2 separate regions of the Mus musculus genome follow, and region 2 is reported to be linked to region 1. The links are microRNA targets in miRTarBase. Many come from high-throughput screens and were not tested one by one. Region 1 holds a microRNA gene; the other region holds the end of a gene's coding sequence.
The links. Region 1 holds the annotated microRNA mmu-miR-1224-5p (GUGAGGACUGGGGAGGUGGAG, at 6,770-6,790, opposite strand). A microRNA usually pairs through its seed, bases 2 to 8, with sites in the 3' UTR of a target mRNA and lowers its output. Matches are read on the target gene's strand: a 7mer-m8 pairs with bases 2 to 8, a 7mer-A1 pairs with bases 2 to 7 and ends in A, and an 8mer does both.

Region 2: miRTarBase lists Smg1 as a target of mmu-miR-1224-5p. Seed matches in the 3' UTR shown: 7mer-A1 at 6,538-6,544.

What each region holds. Positions count from the first base shown.
Region 1 is chr16:20,601,176-20,611,241 of GRCm38, reverse strand. It overlaps Mir1224 (microRNA 1224), which reads right to left and starts at 6,790; the gene lies at 6,706-6,790. Vwa5b2 (von Willebrand factor A domain containing 5B2) reads right to left here. Exons shown (of 20, transcript NM_001384105.1): 14 at 10,042-10,066; 15 at 9,505-9,694; 16 at 9,053-9,406; 17 at 7,257-7,394; 18 at 7,096-7,176; 19 at 6,791-6,996; 20 at 5,865-6,705. The coding sequence ends at 6,157. Alg3 (asparagine-linked glycosylation 3 (alpha-1,3-mannosyltransferase)) reads left to right here and starts at 481. Exons shown (of 9, transcript NM_145939.3): 1 at 481-699; 2 at 2,156-2,255; 3 at 2,353-2,500; 4 at 2,596-2,756; 5 at 3,358-3,478; 6 at 4,277-4,482; 7 at 4,640-4,716; 8 at 5,236-5,380; 9 at 5,525-5,784. The coding sequence starts at 504. The coding sequence ends at 5,687.
Region 2 is chr7:118,126,581-118,136,343 of GRCm38, forward strand. Smg1 (SMG1 homolog, phosphatidylinositol 3-kinase-related kinase (C. elegans)) reads right to left here. Exons shown (of 63, transcript NM_001031814.1): 63 at 4,732-9,038. The coding sequence ends at 8,961. It overlaps Arl6ip1 (ADP-ribosylation factor-like 6 interacting protein 1), which reads right to left and starts at 3,045. Exons shown (of 6, transcript NM_019419.2): 1 at 2,889-3,045; 2 at 554-687. The coding sequence starts at 2,924.

The DNA.
Region 1 (10,066 bases):
AGGAATACTGAAAGGAGCTTTCCCCTCTACGTGAACACAACTACTCTGGGCATAGGCAGAGTGGAAAGCTGGGCTTGGAGAAGAGAACAGAACTGTTGTTTTGTTTTCTGGGCAAACACTGATATACTCGTGTTTATGTGCTCTGAAAGGGACATACACCGAGAAGTATATGTATATTTATATTACAACATCGTGTAGTCTTTCAAAGGAGATGCGTTCTAAGGACTAGCTATCTTATCCTTATTCCGGTGCACATATTCACATTAGAAATATCTCTCACCACTGTGTATAATAAGCACTAAATATGTAGCCAATGAATCATTTTGGCCTAGAAACTCCAGCTCCCTGAGTCTAATTAACAGACTGATTTTTAGTAAATAAGACTTCTGGTTACTCGGCTCAGCATTTAGTTTGAGAAGACGCCCAGAGCGTGAGACCGGAACCTAGTGTGTGAGAGTTGGTTTTCCCGGGTGGTGGAAGCAAAAGAGTGGTGCACTGTCAAGATGGCTGCTGGGCTGCGGAAACGCGGCCAGCCGGCTTCTGTCGGCCAGCCGGCAGGAATCTGGAAACAATGGCTACAGCGTGCCTGGCAAGAACGCTACCTACTGCTGCGGGAACCGCGCTACACATTGCTGGTGGCCTCCTGCCTCTGCATAGCAGAGGTGGGCATCACCTTCTGGGTCATTCACAGGGTGGCATGTGAGTTCACTGAAGGGGAGAGAACCGGAGGGAGGGAGGGATACCCAAACTAGATTACAGAGCTTTCATTCACCGATCAAACCCATATCCTTTACCTGACCCAAGCCCATTTTCCAGAACAGCGATCATAATCTCTCTCCCATATGGGAGGGAGGTTACCCAGAGATTACCTCCTGCGTTTAACATTCAGCCTGCTAAGAAAGCATAAGCAGCCACGAAGTTCTGGCCAGAATTAATGTGCTGTTGCTGCTGCTGTTCCTGATGCTTGTCTGTAGCCTTAGACAGTCACTTCCCACCGCAGATCTGATTTTTCATGCTTTTAATTCTTAGGTCTTGAAAGTCCTTTTAAAGAGTGCATTTTGTGACCTTTTAAGTCCATTAGGTACTGGTGTCTTCCAGGATCAGTCTTTTTTTAAAAAAACAAAACAAAACAGAGTCTCACTAAGTAGCCCTGATTGGCTTTGCTATGTAGACCACAGTGGCCTCAAGCTCACAGAAATCTGCCTTCTTCTGGCTCCTGAGTGTTGTTGAGATTAAAGGTGGACACCATCACAACTGGCTTATAAAGACCCTGTTCTTAAAATGAGAGTGAGGAACATTCCAGAAAGAGAATCACCATTAACCTCTAACCTCCACACTCATACTCACATGCATGTACACTCACTTATGTGTGAATCCACACATGTGCATATGAACACACACAAGACAGAGAAAGAGAACAAGACTGTTTCAAGAACTAAGAAGCTGGGTGGTGGTGGCACACGCCTTTATCCCAGCACTTGGGAGACAGAAGCAAGTGGATCTCTGTGAGTTTAAGGCCAGCCTAGTCTACAGAGTTCCAGGACAGCCAGATAGCCAGAGCTATACAGAGAAACCCTGTCTTGTAAACACACACACACACACACACACACACACACACACAAACTGAAAAGGAGAGAAGTACTACTTGAAGAATACAGGAAAGAGTAAATTTGGAGTAGGAAGAAAGATCATAAAATCAGTTTTACACATTTGAGTTTAAGACACCCACATTCATGGGCCTAAGGAGATAGCTTAGCACGTGGTATTTACCATGCAAATGTGAGACCCATAGTTCACATTCCTAGCATTAGGCATAAATGCCAGGCAGGCATGGTGACCCATCTATGATCACGGCACTGGAGAGGCAGGACAAGGGATCCTTGAAGCAAACTGACTAGCTAGACTCTGTTATATAAATGACAGAGGAAGACACCAGTGTCAACTCCTGACCTTCATATGCATGCACACATAACACACAGACGAAATATATGGGTTCACCCAGAGAATGCCGTAGGTGTGGTTACATCAGGGACGATAATGGGAGAAACCTGGGAATGAGGTAGAATCTCTGGGCTTTGGTGGTCTGAAGGCATGGGGTTTAGAAGTAGGCAAGTTCTGGACTCAGAAGGAACGAGACCATGTTATCTTCTTCCAGACACAGAGATTGACTGGAAGGCCTACATGGCCCAGGTGGAGGGTTTCATCAATGGCACATATGACTACACACAGCTGCAGGGTGACACCGGACCTCTTGTGTGAGTGAGGATAGGAAGTCTGAAGGCATTGTGAAGGGCTGGGTGGGTACCAGGCTGATAGTCCTGCCCTAGGCTCATATTTCCTTTCATCTTCCAGCTACCCAGCTGGGTTTTTGTACATCTTTACGGGGCTATTCTATGCTACTGACCGGGGCACTGATATCCCTATGGCCCAGAACATCTTTGCTGTACTCTACCTTGTCACCTTGGTGCTTGTTTTCTTGATATACCACCAGACCTCCAAGGTGAGTTGATGCCACAGGACCAACTGGCCCTGGCCTGAAGTGGGTGGTGGGGGTGGCTCAGGTTTGGGGAGCTGACGTTGGTGCCCACCCTTTAGGTACCTCCCTTCGTCTTTTTCTTCATGTGTTGTGCCTCTTACCGTGTCCATTCCATCTTTGTACTGCGGCTCTTCAATGACCCAGTAGCTATGGCCTTGCTCTTCCTGAGCATCAACCTTTTCCTGGCACAGTGCTGGAGCTGGGGCTGCTGCTGTTTCAGGTCAGAGCCTTTTCCTTCTGCCCCCCCACCCCCCAGTCACATTTCCATATCTTCCCAATGTTCTGCAGGAGAGGACATCAAGAGTGGTTAGATAGCCAGGCAGTGGTGGCGCATGCCTTTAATCCCAGCACTTGGGAGGCAGAGGCAAGCGGATTTCTGAGTTCAAGGCCAGCCTTGTCTACAGAGTGAGTTCCAGGACAGCCAGGGCTACACAGAGAAACCCTGACTTAGGGGGAAAAAAGAGAGTGGTTAGTTACTGTAGGTCACTCTGGCCGCCCTGAACAAGTCAAGGGTCTGTAGAAAGTTCCTTTCCTCATGCTTTCTTCCTATGTTTATCCCAGATGGCATCCATGTTGGGGTTGGCCCTTAAGTATGTCAATCTGTACATGTCCATTTAGTCTGGACAGAGGGACAGGTATTATTCCCTTCTTCCCAGCCTCCTCTCAGGCCATCTGTGCTCCTCTAACAGTTCTGGATAGAGACCACATCCTGGCACTTAATAACCTGAGGAGAAGATCTGTGGGGGAGGTGGGGTGTCGTTCCAAGGGGCACCCAGTCCTGGAGCTGACCCTGGACTTTTCCTGTCCTTTGTCCATTTCAGCCTGGCTGTCTCGGTGAAGATGAATGTGCTGCTCTTCGCCCCGGGATTGCTATTCCTTCTTCTTACTCAGTTTGGCTTCCGTGGTGCCCTCCCCAAGCTGGCCATCTGTGCTGCTCTTCAGGTAACTGTCTATCCTGCCCTTACTGGTGAGAAAGGGCCTCCCCTTACCGAAGAGACGGATCTCCTTAAATCTCTTAGGGCTTTCTCAAAAGCCAACAGACAAGAGTTTGGAGTTGTTGCTTTCACTGGGCAGCCACTTTAGATCCCACGGCTACTGAACTTGGCAGGCCTCTCAGAGCCTTCCTAAAGCTGCTTGCTTAAGACCTGATCAACTAGCTAGGCATGGTGGTACACATCTTTAACCCTAGCACTTGGGAGGTCTCTGAGTTCAGGGCACCCTGGTCTACATAACAAATGCCAGGCCAGCCAGGACTACATAGTGAGACTCTCTCTCTAAATACCTCCTTCCCCCTTCAAACACACACACACAATCAGGTGAAAATTTTTTCAAGATTTTTTTAAAGGTTTGTTTGTTTGTTTGTTTGTTTATGTGAATGAGAGCTCAATTTGCATGTGTGCCTGCATGACAGAAAAAGATCAGACCCCATTACAGATAGCCATGAGCTACCATGTGGTTGCTGGGGGTTAAACTCAGCACCTCCGGAAGAGCAACGAATGCTCTTAACAACTGAGCCGCCCACGATTTGGCGAACTCTTGAGAAAGGCAGTGTGATCAACCCCCTCCTGTGCCTCTGTGGTGTCAGGCTCTAGCAGGGGGTGAGAGTGGGGAGGCTTTCCGGCTACTCCTTGTGGAAATAAAGGAGCTTTTGAGGCTTCCTCTCTCACTATGCTCTCCTAAGTGACTACCCTGAAGGCTGTGGCAAGCCTAAGCAGCTCTGCTGGCTTCACCCATTCCCAGGTGGTGCTGGGATTGCCCTTCCTGCTGGAGAACCCCATTGGCTACCTATCCCGCTCCTTTGACCTTGGTCGTCAGTTTCTTTTCCAATGGACAGTAAACTGGCGCTTCCTGCCTGAAACCATCTTCCTGCATCGTGCCTTCCATCTAGCCCTGTTGGCTGCCCACCTTAGCCTCCTCTTGCTGTTTGCCCTCTGTAGGTGGCACAGGTAAGAAACAGGGTTAATATCATGGGAAGGTTCATGGGACGGAGTGGAGAGCTCAGCTCTTCGGAGCTGCTTGGAGGAAGTGTTAAGTTCATGGTGGCTAATCTAGGATTTGGCACACAACGGGGCCTTGATAAATGTCCGAATGACTTCTCTTCAGAACAGGGGAAAGTATTCTGGCACTGCTGAAGGATCCTTCCAAAAGGAAAGTTCCACCCCAAGCCCTCACACCTAACCATATCCTTTAAATCACGGAAAGACAAGTTTTGATCTCTCCAAGTGCAGATAGAGTCTTAGTCTGTTGGCCTGAGATAGCAAGCTACCACAGGAAGAGGCCCGAGCCCAGTCATAGGTCCTGTCCTCTGCAGCAAACACTGCACTGAGCACCCTACACATCTCAGCCCAGCTTAACCGTAAGTCCAGCATTGTAAAACCGTGCACTCTTGGTATCGTCCTAAGAGTCCACATTCCCTCCCATGCAAAGTCCACCTGAGTCAGGGGAAGTACGCATATTAATTTTACAGAAGGAAGGATTAAGGTTAGAATGTAAGGGATTCAGACTCCTCAGGCTTTACAGTCTCATGCATCCCTCTCTCCCTACTAAACCGAGGACCAGATCCAGAGAGGCTAGAAAGCTTATCTGAAGCGTGCATGGAAGGCAGAATAGGGTGCTCTTACCCCAGAACTTTAAACCCTTACCCCCACCCCACCCCTACTGCCCTCCATTTCTACCCAAAGCCTTAACCATCACATCACAGATTGTTTCCATCCTCTTCACCTCCAACTTCATTGGCATCTGCTTTAGCCGCTCGCTCCACTACCAGTTTTATGTCTGGTATTTCCACACACTGCCCTACCTCCTGTGGGCCATGCCTGCACGCTGGCTCACACACCTGCTCAGGTACTAGCTGGGACAACCTGGAAGGGTTGGAGAAGGGCTCGGGGTCTCCTCACAGCTGAAACCACAGAAGGGCATGGGGTGGATGGGTGGATGGCGTAGGGCGTGCTGACCTTGAAATGGCTGGGACCCGTTTCTCATTCCCAGGTTGCTGGTGCTGGGACTCATTGAGCTCTCCTGGAATACGTACCCATCCACGTCCTTCAGCTCTGCCGCCCTCCACCTGTGCCACGCTGTCGTCCTGCTGCAGCTCTGGCTGTCCCCCGAGTCCTTCCCTAAGAGCATTCAGCCAAGCAGGAAAACTCACTGAAACCCACCCCTTCCTTCTAGGACGTGCTCAGCATCATGGGTGGAACGGACTCTGTGTTCTTAGAATAAACCTTGCCAAGTCCACCTTTGTGCAGCATACATAAAGTTAGTGGTTGCTCGTGCCTACACCAAGCTATGAAGTGCATCTTCCCAACATGGAAACGAACAACTCATCAGGCAGTCTTAAGAGGCACTTTATTGCATAGGATTTGGGACCGTAGCTCTCTCCTCTTCCATTATCCTATAGAGAGCTCAGAGCACATAGGAGGGGGTATGGAGTGGGAGGAGAGAGAAGAGAGCACAGGCAGGCACTTTCTGTGGTGACAAGAATGTTGGGAGGGGTGTGTGTGTGTGTGTATGTGAAGCAATGGAGGACGGCAGACACCAACTTATTCTTTCCCAGCACCAAGAGACTGGCCCTGGGTGGCAGTGACTGTGTTGGGGGTCGCTAGCCAGAGCTGCAAGCAGCCTTACACATTCGAAGGGCTGTAACACAGCAAGTGTAGCTGCAGATTCTGGTCCCAGTGTCGCAGTAACAGAAAGAGCCCCCGGGCAGCAGCTTTAAGAGCAGTCAGATCAAGTCCGTCTGGCAGGTGTTGGGCTCTCAGCCAGCAATCAGCTTTGGAAGCTGTCAGTTCCCACTCGCCAAAGGCAGCTGCACAGCGGTGTTCCAGCCACGCCAGGGCCACAGCTGTGGCCCAAGTGCGCCCACGAAGATCAGAGCTGTCCTGCCTTTCCATTCCTTCTGAGGCCTCAGTATCTGAGCCCCTCCCACTGTCTACCTGGCCTGGACCCTCAGAACCTGAGCTGGGGGACTGGCTGCAGGAGGCTGTGGCACTGTCACCTTGGCCAATACCAGGGCTCAGAAATGCCCAAGGAGATGATGCTGAGGTGGGGCTGAGGCTGGCACGGTGTGCGGCAAAGGGCGAGGCTCGACACAGGCGTTCTTGAGGAATGCACACAGCAGCACAGAAGGGTTCATCCAGGCGGAAGGAGCCTGGTGCCTCTTGCAGTCGTACCTGAGGAGAGAAGAGGTGGGGGGAGAGGGAGCTGAGACAGAGCTCTGGCTCTAATGATGCTACCCTCCACCTCCCCAGTCCTCACCAGAGGCAGGTAGTCATGGTTGCTGCCGTCATTGCTGTTCTCATGAGTCTGGCCCTTATTGGAGCTGCAGAGTCTTCGATGACGACCCAGGCTGAGCCTGGAAGAGGCTGGAGGCTGGTGGGGCAAGCCATGATGATCTCCAGTAGGAGATATGGGCTCCCCCAATGCTGACTTGGAGTTGTCATTTAGGTCCAGGTCCCAGGCACCTGCAGAACAGCCTCCCTGATGTCCTACAGTAGGGTCACCCAGTACCAGCAAGTGGTCCAAAGCCCATCTGTGCCCAATCCACTGCATTTGAGCCCTACCTTTAGAGTGGACTGCTGTGGACAGAGGAGCGGCAGCTAGCTGGTCTTGAGAGGCAGACATGCCTGAGAGCTCAGCTGGATCTGTAAGAGTAGAGTCAGTCCCACTGGCTTGCCAGTGAGGTGAGTGTCACACCTTAGAGGTCATCAGAGAAGGACCATACCTGAACTCCACACCTGCAGGGCTCCAGGCAATACCTCCCTAGTGGTAGCATCTACAGCAACAGGGCAGGTAAAACAGGATGGGGCAGAGCTGACCTTGCTTGTCTGAATGGCTCTGAGCCAGGACCTTCTGACTCTGCCTGTAAATCAAAGCAGTATGGAGCTCAACTCTCACTATCTATAGAAAGCTGCATAAAAAATGCTGGAAAATGTGGTTCCCTTAATAAGCAGAGTGAAGGGTGTCTTGGTCTCTGTTCCCTGCCATTGGATTACCAGGTTAGTCCTGCTGGGACCAGATATCTCAGGGTGGAGTGATACCCAAGGAGGGCTTCCCCTTCAGACAAGTCCTCAGAGAAGGGGAGGGGGTGATGAGGGAGGGGTGGGACTGGGAAGATAGGGTGGGCTGTAAGCACTGGGATGTAAATTAAACAAACAAAATGCTGTAAAGCCAAACATGGTGGCTTAAATCCCAGCACTTCAGAGGCCAAAGCAGGCCAGTATCTGTGAGTTCCAAGCCAGCCAGGACTACATGATACCCTGTCTAAAAAAAAAAAAATACTAGAATGATCCCCACAGCTTCCCCTGTCCCCTATAAACATGGTAGATAGCCATGTTTGGTCCTGAACCAAATCTTCCCAACTTTGACAAGAAATAGACTGAACTCTCAGCCTACAGTAGAACCAGAAGCCCCCTAGAAACCCAGAAATTTGGTGGTCTGGAACGATCCTCCTGCCTCTGCTACCACAGTGTTGAGATTATGGGTATGCACCATCACACCCATGCCTAGCTTGCTGTCTGTCTTTTCTCTTTCTCTCTCTCTCTCTCTCTCTCTCTCTCTCTCTCTCTCTCTCTCTCTCTCTTTCTTTTTTCTTTTTTTTTTTTTTTTGACTTAAATCTGGGAAGTGGGTCCGGCACAGGCAAACTTTAGAGTACCCAAGGGTAGTGTGTGGCCCCTCCACAGGACTTTATTTTGACAGGGTCACACCATAGTTACATATAACCTAGATTGGCCCAGAACTCTCAGACTTATTGCATAATAGATGCTTAGTTAAAGCTGTGAGTTTTATGCATGTGCCGCCACAGCCAGCACCATACACACTGCCTACCACTCATTTCAGCACTATCCAGAACTTCCTGCAGTTAGAAAAATGTTTTGTCTGCATCATGCACATGTGACTGTTTTCTTTTCTTTTTCTTTCTTTCTCGCCTCCACCCCTTTTGGTTTTTCGAGACAGGGTTTCTCTGTATAGCCCTGGCTGTCCTGGAACTCACTCTGTAGACCAGGCTGGCCTTGAACTCAGAAATCTGCCTGCCTCTGCCTCCCCAGTGCTGGGATTAAAGACGTGTGCCACCACTGCCCGGTTTTGTATCTTATAATACACCTTTATTTATATTTCCTTTATATTCTTTTATCATTTTTTTTTATGTGTGGGGATATTTTGCCTGCATGTATGTCTTTGTACTATATATGTGACTGGTACCCACAGAGGCCAGAAGAGGGTGTTAGATCCCCTGGAATTGGAGTTACAGATGGTTGTGAACCACCATGTGGGTACTGGGAATTGAACCTGGGTCCTCTAGAACAGTCAGTGCTCTTAACCACTGAGCCATCTCTCCAGCCTTGGTTTCCTTTGTTTTCACTCTTTCTCATTTCTCTGCTAAGTTTCTTACTTTGTATTATGAATCACCTCAAATCCTTTGTGACAAAGTAAGGAACAGGCTGATTAACACAGATATGTACCTTCACCGTGTTCTGTTTAAAGCCTTTGTACCTGGGGTGTGTCGGTTAGAAACTTACCCTGCTCAGCCCTGGTTTCAGCTCTTCCACGGAGAGCCAGCTGTTCATTGTCCTGGACCACAGAGGCTGCTGTCAGCCGGTGGAGTGCCTGATCCCACGCAGCTTCTCTCATCGGAAGTGATTCAGGCTGGGAGCCATCCCCAGGACCCCAGAGTTCTTCCAGCCCAACACCCACCTCCCAGCACATTGGCTGTTCCCCACACAGGGCCCGGATCACCACGTGGCAACGTGGAGCCTGAGGAGGCAGACATTCTGCTGGAGGAGCTGATTCCGCACTGGACGGCACAGGCTTGAATAAGAAAGATGGTTCCATCAACATATCCCAGTCCAAGGGGGCTGGGGAGAGCAGGTTTCCTGGGGAGAGATGTCAGGGGTATAGGCAACATGGTGAACTGTGCTCCATTTTCCCACATCTTTGGTGTCAGAAAACCAGCGTCCCATCCAACCCTTACCTGAATCATCGAGGCCCTGACCCAGCTGTTGTCCTGGCTCAGGGCCTAATCCATCTGGTATTGCATCTAGAGAGGGGTGCCGGGCTCTTCCGGGGACTGGGTTTGCCCGGCCTGAGGGAGATGAGAGACTTCGACCAGCCAGAGCTGCTCTTTGCCGACGGCCCAGCACCTCAGCGCTCATGGCTCCCACCTGCGTGTGAGAGATGGGAGGTCACTGGTCAAGGAATGCTGTTTCTAGCCACCACAGACTTTCAGCTACCCATAAGTCTTGTCATCTCATTGTATTTCCCACTTCAGGTTGTTTCTTGACTCTCTCTTTATATCGTCATTGTTTTTTAACTTGCTTATTCTCCCCGACACACCTTACTTTCCTAACTCCGTCTGACAGTCATTCTGACTGAGCGCCCATAATACCACGGTCCTGTGTTCATTACTGGTTGTGACATCATATATATATATGTATGTAACCATCCAATCATATATACATATACATATATATATATATATATGATGGTTACATGACGGATGAAATCTCACCTTGAATGGAGATGGTGGGGGTACA
Region 2 (9,763 bases), not on the chromosome of region 1:
AGAGCTATTCCCTCCCTCCCTCCCCTCGACTCTCAGAGCCGGGGCTGCTCCCTTTCTAACTTCCTCACAGAGGCGTTCCAGGGGCACCATGGCGTGATGTTGTCACAGCCATAGCGGTTAATGTAAACAGCAGTACTCAAAACCTCTGGAGTCCTCAATATTTTTTTTCCTGGGGGTTTTTTCGAGACAGGGTTTCTCAGTTAGCCCTGGCTGTCCTGGAACTCATTCTGCAGCCCAGGCTGGCCTCGAACTCAGAAATCTGCCTGCCTCTGCCTCCCCAGTGCTGGGATTAAAGGCGTGCGCCACCACGCCCAGCTGGGTCCTCAAAATTTACTAGAAGGAATATAATAAAGCAAGAGTGCTGAAACACAAGAGTTTGCGTGTCCGGGATTTACTCAACTGCATCAAGTTACAACTTTACATAAGGACTACAAATCTAGAAAGAGGGCAAGCTGCTTGCAATAAAGGCATTCCTTTTGGATTATGTATTACAAAAGCTTCTCTAAGCACAGGCTATGAACCCTCTGAGCATTAGCAATAGAATCTCACTTACAGGAACAGCAGGGAAACCACACCCATGATGGCAGGTGGAAACCAGGCTCTTTCCCATCGAAGGACTTTGTCAGCCATCAGCATCACCTCTCCCCAGCCTTGCAGCTGCTCTTCAAGACTTGCAGTCTCCACGGCCTACACATGATCAACAGTTAAGACTGTTACTTTGCCAATCTCAACACTTTGGTGGCTCAGAGAGTACTTTCTCAGGCATCAAAAACACGTAAAATGCCTTTTACAAAACTGTTATCTTAAACAAGGTGAGTCATGAAAACCTGCAATTTTGGCACCAAATATGAAAATCCATGGGTAGGAAAAAGCCTAGGCTTTAATGGTCATTTTAGCACTGGGCCATATGTCCATGATGTATAATAATATTCCCAAGATTTCACAATTTATTTCAATATTCATGAAAGTGAGCTTAATATGGGAAACTAATATCCCCAAATGCAGCCACAGAGCCAAGAGGCAGTGCTCAGAATATTACTAGATTGAATATTCTGTTTGCCCATTTCAGGTGGTTGGCATTGATCTGTCGATTGGCCGTTTTATTGATTGAAGTCCTTCTAAATCCATCAGGAGAACCTTTCCCTTAACACTAAGTACATAAATCTCTAAAATAGCTTTGTATAATGGAATGACTCTGATGTTGGCAGTCACTGTGGAATTAAAGAAAACTCTTTCAACCAAACTATGTGAGCTCAGCACTTAATGGCTCCTCATCATTAATGATAGAATTTCAATTAAATCTCAAAATTTTTCTGCATATGTGACAACTAGCCAAAAGCACACCTTTACCATGGGCTACTGTGACCTGAACCTATCAGGGACTTTGGTAACGGAAGGTATTTAGAACCTGTTTGTGCAGAACTCTGGATTCAACATCCAGGAACTACATACACACAATGCCCAACTGACACTATCAACTCTTCACAAAGGAATATGCAAATATAGAACAGTTCAGGCTAATTTTAATAAAGATGAGATATGTGACTAAGTACTTTTGACATCTCCCCATACTAGAAATCCTAAACATTTTACATGTTATACTTCAATTGACGCTCCAAAAAAACTGGAAAAGGTATTCTCACAACCTCTACTTTAAGATAAGGCGACTGAGACATAAAGGGGTTAATATATTTAAATCCAGGAAATCCAAGACTAATGGACTTGCTCTCCTTAAAATGATGGAAATAGTAGTGATCAGGCCCTCTCCCATGATAGTTTCCTTGTACAGCAATTAATCCTCTTATTGAATTGTTTGCTGGTATTGTGTAGGAGGAGTTTAAGGGTACAGGGTAAGCATCTCTATTGTATGGTACTGTGTGTGTGTGTGTGTGTGTGTGTGTGTGTGTAGGGAATTTAAGGATACAGGGAATGCACCTCTAAACACAAATACAAACTGAAAATCTTGCACTAATCAAAACTGTCCCGAAGAATCTTGTCGGCACTTAGCAGTTAAAAAGGCAGGCATTAAAAGCTGATTGCTTTTTTCATTTCTGATATGGCCTGCCTTTTCTGGGGAATGACAATACAGAAAAAAAAAAAAAAAGATCTTTCGTTCTTGCCTAGGTGGGTGATGCAGTTAAAAATTTGAAACTAGCAGGGCCTGGTGATGCGCAACTGTAATCCCAGCACAGGAGGATGACAAATACAAGGCTAGCCTCGTCAAGCTACACGAAAACCTAGCCTTAAAAACCAAAAACAAAGACCTAACCAAAAACAAAGACCTGTAATGAAGCAAACGCGCCCTCTTCTAATACCATCATCTCGTGTAGCTCCGTCAAATCCGTGCTAAATCATTTTTAAAGTTGCATCCAGTCCCGTGAGTCCCTCGCCAGTTCCCAGACAAGTGCCAGGATCCCCCACTGTCCTTTCCGCAGAACCCGTTTTCAGCTTCCTGCGGTGAACTCCAACCAGCCAGCTCCAACAAATTCTGTGTCAGCGATAAACTAATTCTCTGTAGCAGCCCTTTGACCCTCCACCCTTGCGCCAAGTTTTAGGAGAAAAAGAATCATGATTAAAAATAATCTACGGAACATGAGATTAAGATCAAAGGGCAAAACAGGTAGGTCTCCGGCCTGAGCCGGAGCGCTAGACAAGGCCCCTGGCGGCCGAGTGCCCCAACCTGTTACCCAGGTTCCTTCTTGCCACAGCCCCCTTCTCACACTTCCTCACGCACGGCCCAAGCCTTATGGTGCAGGATTCCGGGGGACGTTGGGGATCGCCAGCAGCGACCTCCACCGTGGAGATAAGGCCTGGCTGTCCCTGGTAGTCCACCGAGGCCAGGAGGCCCATCCGGAAACTCCGGGGACAGACTGACCACCGCAACTCACCAGCAGGTTGCTGCTGCGGTTATCCCCCTCCGCCATCGTTCCAGACTCGCGGTTATCAACGAGCGAACACACACTATCCCCCCAACACCAGCAAGGCAACCCGAGCGCGGGGGAACGCCCCGCAGTCTGCTTATATAGGCTAGCTGCCTTTCCCGACAGCCCTCGCGAAACTCGCTCCTCATTGGGTAGACCGCACTCCGGCTTCTGGGAAGTCGGGCCAACCGGCAGCTAGCGCATGACTTGAAATCCAGGTCAAAGGAGAGCGAAACTGAAAGACTCTGACCAATCAGAGTGCAGGGGTGTGGCCCTCGAGAGGCGGAGCGGAAGGAAGCGGTTCAACCGCCGTACCTAGTCTCTCACCCAGATCTTCCTAAATCCTGGGGCCTCTCTAGTCCCTAGCTCTTCTGCTGGAAATCAAAACCGCTCAGGCGCCTGTCCGCTCAGCTGCGCAGGGGATGCGCAATGGCATCCTATGCGGAGGCTGGAAGGGCAAGGACGCTTTAGGTTGCTGTGGCACCTGCTGACTGAAGTATTGGCTGCCCCAAGTGAGCGCTGTCTGTGCCTTCTCCCCAGCTCTGGCCTTTGGAGAACATGGAAGATGCACAAACTCTTAAAGGGCTTCATTTGCAGCCAGTTTTTGGGGGAATCATTTGCGGGGTGCTTCACTTGATAATCTATGAGTACTTCAGGTAGCTAGGGGAGCGCTTCATTCGGAGGGATGGATGAGTAGAGGAGCAATTCGGATGTTGGAGGGCTTCAGACTGATAGATTAATGGATGTATGGGGAAGCCAGGCTAAATACGACCTTCAACTAATTTTAAATTATTTTTAAAAACACTTCGTTCCTTAATTCCCAGGTTCTTTAAAGGCCTTGGAGGTTAAAGAGAAATGTGAGAGATCACATAGTGCTCCTAAATATGCCTGGTCCCTTCCTGGCCTATGGTGGCTCTGTCAAAGGGGCATACAATTTGTCATAGAACTTGTGGAAAGTACTAGAAGGTACAGACAACAGTTTTGACCAGGAAGGACGCTCATTGTGTGTGGGCGGGGCGGGGGGGGGATATTATGACTTCGGTTGATACAGAAATCATGTCAAAAATTGTAAAGCCTGGAATTCCCTCCTTCTCCTCAGTATTGAGAACAAAAGGACCCAAACAGCTGCTACCAAGCAATGAGGTGCCCATCTTGGTGGTACCAGGAGCAGTCACTTTGCTAAGAGAGGGCAGAGTAATAAGTTTTTCCTTGGCAACTTGGCTACTGCCCCAGAAAGCTTAGTTTAGTCGGTGTTCCCAAAGTAAAATTTAAGTTTAGGCCAGTCCCAGGTCCCAATCCAGCTCTCACTAACCTTCCAAATGGCTCAGAGGTTACAAACACCTCTTTTTCTACCACAAAGTGACCTTTTGAAATGTGTCAGAAGATGAAGCTCGTAACACAAATCTTCCTCAGAACTTTGGCACTGCAAATGAAGAAGATCTTTGCAAATACTCTTCTTCTTTCAGAGCTTTCACTCACAATTAAGGCTCTGCAGTTTTGTTTTAAATATTGCTAAAATTAAGCTTCATGCATTTTCTGTGTAATCCTGGCTGTCCTGAAACTTGCTTTATAAACCAGATTCGCCTAGAAATTCCACCTATCCTTGCCTCCCCTGGGATTGAAGGTGTCGATTCTTATCTAAGAACTTTCCTACTGAAATAATTAACTCGCTGTTCAAAAGGGAGTAAAACATTTTTTAAGAAATTTTTTTAATTTGGAGAGATAATATGAAAAAAAAAAGCCACAAAACTATTGCAAAACAAACTTTCTGGGATCTACTTCAATAAATTCAGAGCTTAGATACTGTTATCTTTTTAAGACTTGAACCTTTATTTTTATTTTTTTGAAAAACAGGTATTTCATACAATCTTTACCATGTTAATGTAAAGTAGGCAGGTGTTTTTGTTTTTCAAATGATGCATTATGGACATTTTCAGGAAGCTGGTGTTATTTATTCAACTTTTAATCTTAAATACAAGCACAAAATTATATCCATCAGGAGGCATTACAACTTAAAAATAAGCCACTATTTGTACAATGTTACTAAGACAAGGAAGATTCAGTTCAACTCAACTTACTCTTAAATAAGAGTTTAAAAAAAAAAAAAACACAAAATGTGATGTCATTGCCACCTGACATTCCAGGTAGAAACTTAAGTGACTTGTAAATTGAAAAATGACACAGAATCTGAAACAGGAGCTGAACCACACTGTCAGAAAAAGGGAGAACAACCACTGCCAATCACCCTGTTGTGGAAAAATAAAATTTCAGAACTATATTCTTTGCCATCTTCAAATAGCCAGCTGATTTGAGTTTTTAACATTAGCACTAGAACTTCCCAATGAGCCCCAATTGTCAAGTTTTCTCTACATGGTTGCCTTTTCAAACCTAAGCAGTTAGCTTTTTGTAGACAGTGACGTTATCTAGGCCCAAAAGCAGGCAAAGTACAGTGACTGCCTCCTCTTGAATCTTTGCACAGCATTGTGATGCTCACCAGCACTATTAGGAATCTACCTACCCTATCGAGGTAACTGAGGATGAACTTCAGTGACTAGTGCGTTATTTTTTGCCTCCTTGATTTGGGGGGAGGGTTCTAAATTACTAGCATTTTATAAATTCAACATATAAAACAATGTTGGTCTTCGTCTGCGTCTGAACACAGGAAACAAAGATGCTTCAGGGTGGTAGTTCTAAGGGCTAGGATGTACGTAGCTCAGGGTAGAGAGCTTGCCTAGCATGTGCAAGGTCGCATCCCTGCCCTGCAGGAAATGCAGCTAATATTAGCACAGCACTGACATCTGCTGTGTGTGATTGGGAGTGGCAGGCTAGTTGTAGGTGTGTTCATTACTAAGAAAAGATTGGGAGAAAAGAAGAACCAGCTCCTTTGATTTTAGTACTGCACAAGTAAGCCCCCGAGTAACTACAAAAAGGTGGAGGGAAAAAGGCCAGGAAGACTCTGATTTAAAGTACTGCCTGTAATACCCCAGATTAAAAAGGACCTAAGACTGCACATCAACTCTAATATTTGGCTGCATTGCCCTGCTTGGCATTTATTAAATGGCTCTTTCCTTAAATTTCACACATCAGAACAACCACAATTTAAAAAAAAAAACAATGCAGATAACACCAAACATTGGATGATATTAAGAAATCTATTAACGAAGCTTAGATAACAGAGGCAAGTGTTAAGGGCAAAGTGAAGGGAGTCTTTCTTCTTCTGTATTACAAATTCTTACCCTGAACCTGGGCTTTGAGCTCTGAATCAGTGATCTAAGAAAGCAGATCAAGACCTATCAGTTTCACATAGAAATCTCACGCCTCAAAAGAACTCACCACCAGTGTCAAATCATCTAGCAAACTGCGTGATCAGCTCACGACCATAAGCAGAAGCAAGAGACTTTGGTAAAGAAATAGCTTCGTAGGTACTAGGCTTCAGCTTGGTAGAGATATCAACTGACTCTAGCTAGCTAATTAAAGACAACTAATCGAAATACATTTCAATTCTCAAGGGTACTCTGAAATAATAGAGGTTGTTCTGTACCCTCTGAATCTTAAAAGAGTGGAGAGAAGGAAGACAGAATTAGGGAGGAGAGGGGTAGGGAGTAAAGAGAAGAAGTTGAGGAAAAAAAAATATCCCTGGTTTTCCACAGGTACTTTGTCATCAAAAAACGGATGACTTCAAAACTACAGCACTCTACATGATTTCATAAAACATTCCCCCAGTGGCCCTGGGTTTTTTGTTTTGTTTTTGTTTTTTTCACTTGAGGCTCCTTAAAGAAGTTAAACCTGGAAAGGCTATTTGAACAGGAAGCCAAGGGTTTTATCCAGAGTGCAGTGATCAACAAGCTTTGAAGTCCTTGGCTGCTCTTATCTGCACTATTCTTTTCTCAAAGACCAGTTTAACATTTTAAAAAAAGGATGGATAATTCACCAGAGGCACATTTTTTTTGGTTGTTTTTTAAGCTGTCTTATTTTTGCTTGGATTAAGATGCCAAGTACTTCTGATGCCTGAGACTCTTGGGGAATAAAATTCACTTATTACCAAAGCAAAAGCCATTTCTGACCACTACCATCACCTACAGGGACAAAAGTCTGAGCTGGTTTTCTCCTTACAACAAAAGCTCTTCTGACATGAAGAATGTCTGAAAATGACACATCTTGAGAGAGCCAAAGTGCAATTGCCCTCAATGCCTCTAGGGAAGAAAATAGCATGCAAAATATAGTATGGCATCAATATTCCAGCTAGGCTGTTTTGTGACAATAAGGCTCAAAATCAACAAGTAAAACCAAATGCGATATGCTAGATTCTTTAACTTGTCAGCAGACATGTGGAGACTGAAAACAGCACCTTTCAATACTCATAATTAAGAAAGTGCCGACACTGGCATCCATCCTGTGAGGATTAGAATTCAACTCGTTGCAGTCAGAGAAGAGCTTAGACACCTGGACCTTTTCAGGCTTGGAGAGGCTGGCAAATTAAGTGGCCGCCACACTAGTTGCTAAAATGCAGGGGGGGGGGGGGGGATAAAAAGACTCAAAATACCATGTGCTATTCTGTGTTGATACGTGATTTTTAGCTCTATTCTAGTCTGCACTTCTACCAAGGATCAGCAGTGAGTACTGAAAATGCTAAGCTGAAGGATGCCTTGATCGTGACTCACTACACACTAGTCACTAAACAAGCTATAAAATGTTGCAAAAGGTAAACAGAACCCATCACAGGCCACCAGCTGAAATTAAAGGTGCTGCTGGCAGGCATTACTGAGCATACCCAAATGCCAGGTAAACTAAAGCATTTTTAATTTACACTTTAAAACATAAAACAAAATTACTTTGTAAATTAAAAGTATCAAATGAGAAAACTGAATTAAAAAACATTTCACTCTACCTCCACCAGAACGTCACTTTATTGTGAACCTGTCATCAACAATGCAAACTCCAATAGGTTCTCTATCCTGGTTGTTTAAAAGGTAAAAGATTACATCAGATCAGCTACTTTCTATGAAAGAAACTACAGCAATCACAGAAGAGGGAAAATTTGAATGACCTCCAAAAAATGCACATTGTAAGCAGAGGGGAGTGCACATGAAATCAGTGTCTGTTAGACTCATTACGTTTGGATGCACAGTGACAATTCAGGAAACTGTACATGATAGAGTCACAGATATGACTGAAATAACCAGAGTTACATCTTGTATGTGATGATCACAGACCTTTAAACAATCCTTGAATTTTCCATGTTTTCATTGGATTTGGAGAAACTCCTGTTTCTGTCTCCAAATATGGTAACAACGTGGAGACAAAAGTTTATGAAGTGTAAGGATTGAAATAAAAGTGAGTCTGACAGCTGGCTAATCTACCAGGGTGGGTCAACGGGGAGCTGGGGAACAGGTAAGCGATGGGAAGGAGTGGGATCCATAGGTGCTTTTCTCTTCGTTTCAGAAGTCAGTTCTTCCGATGTAGTGTGTGTCTATTACACTGCTCTCCATTTTTTCAGTCCATTTCTGAAATTCATACAGCATAGCCTTTTGGTACTTAACTGGTCAACCCAACCAGTACTGTTGCCGAGCAACAAATGTTTCTCAAGAATCTGAATGCAACAACTCTTCCGTGGCTGTGAGTTCTTCGCGGCCCCAATTTTCTCTTGTTTCTGAGCGGGGTTTGTTTTCCTGGATTGTACACACAGGGTCAGGTGGAATGGAGTTCCAAGTCACTCTGTGCTCCGCAGCAGCCCGATTTCTTTCTCAGCTAACCTCCTGACACGTTTGCAGCTGTTCTGTGGCAGAAAGACAATCTCCGTGTGCAGGCAGTGAGCTTGCTTTCTTCACCTTTGACCCTGGCCATGGTGTTGGGCGTATCCCTGAGTGCAGCTGTCCTGCAGGATTCACTTCCTAGTACACCGAGATTTCCTAGGTTTCCTCAGAGTAAGCCCCCAGATGCATCACCACCGACTGTGATGTGGCTTTGGATGCCTGAGGCTGAGTTGATTCTGGTGGATGTCTGACCTCGCTTAACCAGACTCATCTACTGTCTTGCCATTCACACCCAAGCTGTCCAACCTTCATACAGCTGAGCCAAGTTATCTAGATTAGTTGCTTCCTTAATGACATAGTCAACCTGTGAACATAGGCAGGACAGAATTGAAAATCACTAAGAACCAGAAAGGACACATTTCATATATCAATTGCATGAGTTGTCTCAAGAGCAAGTTTCTAGTCAAATGACTCACCCAAAGGAGGAGAGGTTACACTCTGGTAGAAAGATGTAGCACTCTTCATGACCACAGAGAATGCAACAAGCTCAGTGATCTTAGGAAAGTTCCTTAGACCTTTAGGAATGGTAAGAACCTCTCCACCCCCACCCCCACCCCCACCCAGGGGTGGTAATACCATGAAAGGTTCTGCTTAGAACAAAATAAATGATGCAAATGTGGGTAAGAAGTGATTAGTCTAGGTAAAAAGTATGGCATCTCTACAACTTTTCTGTAACTTTTAAACATTTTTCAAAATAAACAACTAACAGTTGAATGGCTCAGCAGTAAAGTATCTGCCTAGCACCTGTAAGGACCAACGGTCAATCTCCAGCACCCTGGGGTGATGGGGTGTGGTACAGATTCATTAACAGAAGAAAACTTTGGACAAAAACACACAGGTATTCATGGAACTAAAGAGTCTACACCTTCAAAAATTGTCACCCTCCCTTCATCTGATACTTTCAGAACGGTAAGGCGAGTGTTAGCCTGAGTGTGGAGGATGATTAGAGCAGTCATATAGCTTAAACGACTATGCAGGAGATTGCCTAAGAGGAAAGACTAAGTAGTGACGAGTCAAGTAGTGAGCATC